Linked DNA regions of Nothobranchius furzeri. The protein of the gene in region 2 purifies or fractionates together with the protein of the main gene of each other region. This does not show direct contact. Links are inferred from orthologs where the notes say so. Each region holds a gene or a part of one and is shown on either strand. Other genes may lie near its edges.

Evidence for each region.
Region 1: the proteins of flii (region 2) and lrrfip2 purify together in Homo sapiens (affinity purification with mass spectrometry; 3 studies listed by BioGRID and IntAct, with this or other methods). This does not show direct contact. The link is inferred for Nothobranchius furzeri from reciprocal best matches to the Homo sapiens genes FLII and LRRFIP2.

Annotation. Positions count from the first base shown.
Region 1 is NC_091752.1:5,420,015-5,423,839, reverse strand, and holds part of lrrfip2 (leucine-rich repeat flightless-interacting protein 2), read right to left. Parts: intron 2,066-3,825; coding exon 1,933-2,065; intron 1-1,932. UniProt on the Homo sapiens protein: May function as activator of the canonical Wnt signaling pathway, in association with DVL3, upstream of CTNNB1/beta-catenin.
Region 2 is NC_091752.1:64,011,233-64,015,057, reverse strand, and holds part of flii (protein flightless-1 homolog), read left to right. Parts: intron 1-1,315; coding exon 1,316-1,455; intron 1,456-2,415; coding exon 2,416-2,641; intron 2,642-2,762; coding exon 2,763-2,917; intron 2,918-2,995; coding exon 2,996-3,056; intron 3,057-3,129; coding exon 3,130-3,258; intron 3,259-3,825. UniProt on the Homo sapiens protein: Is a regulator of actin polymerization, required for proper myofibril organization and regulation of the length of sarcomeric thin filaments. It also plays a role in the assembly of cardiomyocyte cell adhesion complexes.

The DNA.
Region 1 (3,825 bases), about 59 Mb from region 2:
ATGTTGCACCAAAAACAATAAAAAAGACCCAAAACAATAAATACAATGACCTATCCATTGTCAACAGCCAAAACTGCACTTCAATAATGATAATGAATAAAAATAATAATAGAGTTGTACATTTTTTAACTCTGATATATATATATATATATATATATTGAGGATGGAAAAATTATTGAGATGGGCACGTGACGTGTCAAGGGGTCTTTACATAACACCCCCCACCCCAAATCCGCACAAGCCTGCTGTGTCCCCCCCACTTCTGAAATCAAAATTTCGTCCCTGTGTACACGTGCTGTCTGTGCTTCCATGTCGGGTGTTTTTTTGCATTGGAGTGCTACACCCTGCTGGTGTAACCCTGTTAATGCCTTTTTTTCCCCTCCCTGAACTTTCCTCATGTAACACCCTTTTCATCTAACTATTAAGGTAGCGCGACTCATGTTGCGAATGACCGCAGTCACCAATTCTTGTTATGTGTCTTACCCACGTATGTCTGATCTTTGAATTGTGTGTGCTGAAACTGAATTTCATTTCTCTGTATGTCCTGCACATGTGGAGAATATGACAATAAATGACTCTTGACTCTTGAGATCATAGTATTTTACTCTCCAAGCTGAGGGATTATGGGATACGTGGAATCGCCCATGACTGGTTAAGTAGTTTGTACAGTTAGATGATGAAATTTCAGATACACTAGAGAATACACACGGTGTCCCACAGGGGTCAGTGTTGGGCCCTAAGCTTTTTATTCTATATATAAATGACATTTGTGATGTGTCCAAAGTATTACAATTCATATTGTTTGCTGATGACACGAAAATATTTTGTTCTGGAAATGATTTAGAAATTATTATTCAAAATATGGTTTGTGAAATGTCTAAACTTAAGAAGTGGTTTAATGACAATAAATTATTTCTCAATTGGAATAAAACAAAATTCATGGTTTTTGGTAACAGAAAAACTAACGATTTAGTTACGTTGGCTTTTGATGGTTTTTTAATTGATAGAGTAAATGAAGTCAGATTCTTAGGGGTTCTCTTGGACCATAAACTTACTTGGAAATCCCATATAAAATATATAAAACAAAAAATATCCAAAAGTATTGGAATTTTAAACAAAGTCAAAGGTTTTCTAGAAATTTCAACGCTTCAGACATTATATTATTCATTTATCTTACCATAGTTAACTTATTGTACTGAGGTTTGGGGCAATACGTATAAAACAAACACTAATCCTTTGTTTCTGTTACAGAAGAAAGTTCTGCGAATTCTACATAAAGCAAATCCGAGAGAACATACTAACAAATATTTTATTCTATCTAAAATTATGAAATTCAAAGACTTCGCTAACTTGAAAATTTTGGAAATTATGTTTAAGGCTAGAAATAATTTACTGCCAACTAATCTACAAAGGTTCTTTGTTTTGATCCCAAAAAATGATAAAGAGTAGAAAGAAACCAGAGTTTAAAAGGATATTTGTTCGTACTACATTAAAGCAAATGTGTATTCCAATATATGGTGTGAAATTATGGAATAACCTGGATGATGAATAAAAAAAAATGTACAACTACTGATCAATTCAAAAAAATGTATAAAGATAAAATGCTAAAATGGTATGATTTCGTGAGTTGACGATGGAGGATTAATGTTTTAGTAGTGATATTATTTGTGGAAGTAAGAGGGCGGTTTATTTTTTGTGTACAAGGCTATTTTGTACTTTTTGTTATTTTCTTGTCTTAGTTAAAGGGGGTAGGTCATGTAAGATTTTTTCTTCTTCCTTCCCTATTTCACTCGAATGCTTATATTCTGATTTGAAGTTTGTATATTTAAACTTTGAATGAAATAAATTATTATTGAATTGAATTGAATTGCTCATCACTAAAAAAAGGTGTAAAAGAAGATTCTCAGAGAGAAGCTGCACGGTCCCACTCACCTAGAGGACCCTCTCCTGCAGACTCTAGCACCTGGGCGGCCTCCTGGGAGACCAGAGTGATCCCTGGGGAAAGCGGCTCATGGCTGACGTCTCCGTTAGGAGTGCCGTCTGGGATGATGACTAACCCGTGTTTCTGAAGAGAAGAAAAAAGGTAGATTACTCAGTCTGGGAAAAGAGGAACAAAACTACTGGTGTTTCCTAAACGTTTCAGCTTCTATCCACAAAAAAAGAAACCAACTAAAGGTCAGAGTAGAAACAGCTTAAAGCTGGGAAGAAGCTTTTTACGTTACTTATAGAGAAAATGACTTAAAGGCTGAATATGAAACTATTTAAAGAGCAAGTTGCCCCCAGATCAACTTTTTTTCTGATAAACTATATAAATGCGTGTCTAATCGTGCTGCAGACACATGTAGTCACTAGTTTTGCATTTCAGTGCATTTTAGTTAAAATTTTAATTTTCTGCCTAAAACTAACAGTGTTGTGCCGTTGTCAGGTAAAAACTGCACTGCATTTGAATTTAAATCTGCCATCCCTATTGGCTAAGACGTACCCTAGAATGTTAGCTGGTACCATATGATGTCACAATGTCATTGTGAGCCTGTGTGTGTGTATTTGTTAGCGGCTCCGCCCTCTCGGTAGGGTTGAGCATCGATTGGAACCGGTTCCAACTGTTCATTTTTCCCAGAATCCTTCAAAGTTTTTTATTTCGATTCCTAGAATGCCGACCGGAAGAGGAATCCGCGGCCGATCTCCGTGAAAAATAAACGTGATCTGCAAAATGTGATCAATGCTTTTCAGAGCTGATCCCACCAGCTGTCTGTGTGTGTGCAGCACCGAGTCTCCCCTCCCCCCACCCAGATATAAACAAACACGTCTGCCGAACTTTTACTCCGTAATGTAAACTTTAACTCCTGCAGAGGAAACTTGTTAAATACGTCAACACGGTGGATTTAATGAACAAACTCTAGACTGTGTGAGGTGAGTTTGTCTCAGAAATAAAAACGCACATGGAGCGTCAGCAGTCAGACGCAGCCAGCTACATCTAAGTTTCACTTCCTGTTGTGACTGAATGCTGCTGCAGCATGGAGGTGTAGTTCTCAGTCATCCTGGACATGACCATCCTGAGAGTTTTAGCTGAAAACAGCTGGACGTTTCAGGATATGTTGGAGACATTTAGCCTCTCATCCCAGAGGCTTCTGAGAATCGGGAGAATTGGAATCGGGAATCGATAGGAACCGGAATCGAAACGAGGAATCGGAATCGTTCAAAATCAAATGATGCCCAACCCGACCTCTCGGTTTGCTAGGCAACAGCATTTGTTGCATTTTTCAAACAGGAAGTAGGAGTGGAGTAATACTCTGGTAGGGGGTCAGTTGCTCTTTAAAGAGCCAGTCACCCCTTACAAGAAGCGTACTTCACTCCCACTTCATGTTTGAAAAATGCAACAAATGCTGTTGCCTAGCAGACCGAGAGGGTGGAGCCACTAACAAATACACACACTCATGACATTGTGACATCATAATGTACCAGTTTACATCATAGCATACCTCTTAGCCAATAGCGGTGGCAGATTTAAATTCAAATGCAGTGCAGAGTTTTACCTGACAACGGCACAACACTGACAGTTTCAGGCAGAAAATTTAAATTTTTACTAAAATGCACTAAAGTGCAAAACTATTGACTACACGTGTCTACAACACGATTAGACAAGCATTTATATAGTTTATCAGGAAAAATAATTTATTTGGGGGTGACTTGCTCTTTAAGAAGAAGCTATATATTTATTTAAAGTGACAGTGTGTAGTTTCCAAATAAAAAAATTCACGTATCGGCAGCAAACCTGGCATCCCGATGGATGGAAACCTTTTCTATTGTTGCACCTACACCCTCCAC
Region 2 (3,825 bases):
GTTTTACGTCTGGTTTTTGTAAAAGTTTGTAAAAATTCTGATTCTAATGAAGGTTTTCTTTCAAACTAAAGATTCATAAAACTCCTAATCTCTGCGCTTCCCTCCTGTCATGAATGATGAAACAAAATCTGTAAATTTGAGTGAACAGACACAAACAGCAGACTTGGTGCTCCCGTGCAGGAAGTTTTGTTCGGCTGATGTCGGGGTCATGTGCTCTTCATCCCTAGTAGCAGATGGCAGCACAAGGCCCGTTTGCATCTATAAAACTCAGATCCACAACACCTACAGCTCCAATTACAGGCTGGCCGAAGCACGCACAAGGTTGCAGCGGTTAGCATTAGCAAGTTAGCGTCCTGACTTTTCTGCCCAGCTAAAGGTGGAGCCAGCAGGTGATGGAGGAACAGAATGTTGTTCTCAGAGCTGCAGGCCTTAAGGGATGGAGAACAAAGACTCGCGTTCAGGATTACTTTCCTAAAAGGGAGCTGATTTATATCTTCTTATTTTGGGGACAGCAGCAGATCAGGAGGTAGAGCAAGTTGTCCAGTAATCGGAAGGTTGCAGGTTCGATCCCGGCCCCGACAAGAGAACGCTGCTGTTGTGACACTTAACCCACCTTGCCTGCTGGTGGCGCCAGTGTTCAGCAGCCTCGCCTCTGTCAGAGCGCCCCAGGGCAGCTGTGGCTACATCGTAGCTCATCCTCACCAGCGTGTGAATGACTGATTGTGTGGTGAAGCGCCTTGGGGGGGTTGTCGAACCCTAAGAAGGTGCTGTACAAATACAGACCATTTATTTTAACTTCATTCAGATGAAGAAAAATCTGGTTCTTGAAGCTTGACGGTTACTTCTGCACATCTAAGAAAAGAACAAAGCCTTTTCCTCGTTAGCTTTTGAGTTTGAATGCTAACGCTAGCTCTCCTCTTCAATGGTTTCATTCGCTCCTTAAAATCGTGAACTTTTACAGGAACTAGTTCATTTATGTAAGAAGATGCTGAGTGAACGATTGACGGCTCGCCCGCCTCCACGAGTCCACACGACCCAAACTTTCTCCGAGTGACCACCGTGTAGCGTTAGCTTTGGCTCAAGTAGCTTAGTAAGTAAAGTTTATTTATTTTGCTAAGAAGGAAAATCACATCCAAGTTAAAACATGAAAAAAGGGTAATTAAAAGCAAAAACGTCCATAAAACAAATAAAAATAAACAAAAGCGATTTCAAATAAAAGGATCTTCAGCTGCTTTTTAAAGGTGTCCAGGCTGTCGATGCGACGTAAACATGAAGTTCCTTCTAACAGTAAACCAAACCTGTCCTCCATGTTCAGGCTGAGCAGCTGATGGAGGAGTGGAACGAGGACTTGGATGGGATGGAGGGATTTGTGCTGGAGGGAAAGAAGTTCACCCGCCTGCCCGAGGAGGAGTTTGGACACTTCTTCACTCAGGACTGTTACGTTTTCCTCTGCAGGTACTCGGGTGTAACAGTGCCGGTGTCGGTACAAGATCTGCTCGGGTGCAAGATCGGCTCGGGGTCCTTCGACTGCCGATGACGTCAAAGTAGTTGATTGGCTGAACATGAACCTTACGGACGTTACGTAATCACGTTACGTTGGTCCAGGCAAAATTTTCTGTTGGAAAGATGGACAACTTTTACAAAGAAATCCATCATTAACTTTTTGAAAATACACTTTTAGCATAGAGCTGCATGTATATTAGGGCTGAACGATTAACTGCATGTGCAATTAAATTGCGATGTGACAAAAGGAGATTTTCTAATCGCAAAGGCTGCAATTTGGTAGCGAGTGGTTAGCGCAATGCTAATATCCATGGAAAAACCCATAGGAATGCTAATGCTAATATCACCGATTACATTCTTACAAATTATGAATTAGAAACGTGCCAAATGATTACAACTGGAGTCTAATAGAAAGTAAAACTACCATCAATCAAATAAGTACAGACAGGTATTTTAGTAAAGCCAGAAAACTTTTAACTCCAGAGTTTTGGCTAGCAGCTATGAGCGTAACTGAACTGCTCATGGACACGACGTCAAAAACTAAACACAAAATACTTCAATAAACGGGACACACTTCTTTCCTGCAAATACAATTTCACAGGTGTTGCTATAATACCTATGATCCTTCAAGGGATGTGCTCAAAGAGGAGTTCAACATTATGAATAAAATAGTGTTTTATTTTACAAATACCATTATAAACACAAACTTACGTCGTAAGAAACATTATTTTAATAACGAAACTGCTAAATTCTTTCCAAGAGTATAGATGTGTAGTGTATTTTGTTCGAGTGGCTTTGCCGTACTTTGACGTCATCGGCAGTCGAAGGACCCCGAGCCGATCTTGCACCGACACCGGCTGACTTTCCTCCCATTCCCAGACAACACAGTGTCTTGTGATTGGATCGTTTCAGATACTGGGTTCCTGTGGAGTACGAGGAAGATGAGGAGAAGGAGAAGAAGCAGGGCGGTGAGGGAGGAGGAAAAGGAGATGAGGAAGAGGAGGACAAACAGCCTGAGGAGGACTTCCAGTGTGTGGTGTACTTCTGGCAGGGCAGACAGGCCTCCAACATGGGCTGGCTCACCTTCACCTTCTCCCTGCAGAAGAAGTTTGAGAGTCTTTTCCCTGGAAAACTGAAGGCAGGAAGAAACTTTTACTTTTTTTTTTTTCCTGGAATTCCCCCGGTTTCGCTACATTTACTAGGATATTTCAGGGTGCCGGTGCTTGGTGTTTGTTCTGAGGTGACCTCCTGTTGTTTAGGTGGTGCGGATGACCCAGCAGCAGGAGAACCTCAAGTTCTTGTCTCATTTCAAGAGGAGGTTCATCATCCACAAGGGGAAGAGGAAACAGAACACGGACTCGGCCCAGCCCTCCCTCTACCACATCCGTACCAACGGCAGCGCCCTCTGCACCAGGTAGGCCGACCCGCACCAGCTCGGGGTTTTACCTCATCTCTGAATCCTCTCACACGTGACTCTGCCTCTGCTGTTCAGGACCATCCAGATTGGGACGGACTCCGGTAATCTCAACTCTGAGTTCTGCTTCATCCTCAAGGTTTGGAGGCTTAAAACCCAGATTACAGATGAGCCAGGCTTGCTCATTCCGACTCACACACTCGTCTCTTCAGGTACCTTTTGAGAGCACAGACAACCAGGGCATCGTGTACACGTGGGTGGGCCGGGCCGCGGATCCGGATGAGGCCAAACTGGCCGAGGACATCATGAACGCCATGTTTGACGACACGTACAGCAAGCAGGTCAGACGTCACGGCTTTAGAGCTAACACTCGACATGTTCCACTTTCTTTTTGAGATCATTGGTCTCATCTCCAGGTTGGGAGTAATGCGGTACAAAAGTAATTAATTACTGTAATGCATTGCTTTTTGCTGTAATGTGGTAATGTAAGGCATTACAGGGAAAGAAAACGGTCATATTTACTCGGTACAACTGTCAGTAACGCGGTAATTACAAGACGCATTAAATTGCGGGAAGCCCGAAAAAGATCCAGTATCTGCATATATTACGTCATTTGTGGATTTAGCCTTGCGGGCAGAGAGGACGCCGCGGTAACGGCTCAAACACTCCAGCTGCGTCCTGCACGCGGCCGCTGTAACATTCACGAAATCGCTCCACTAAAACAGAAGAATCCACTTGTGATCGTTCATATCAGCCCATGTTCTCTGGTACTTTCTGTACTTTTCTGACGTGCTTTGCCTCAGCTGAGTTCATAATCTGTGCCCTCGCCCGGTGATTTCAACTCATTGCTGCTGGAGCGCCGCACATGTGAAGATCCCTTTGGCTGATTAGTTAGAAAGCAGGAAGTC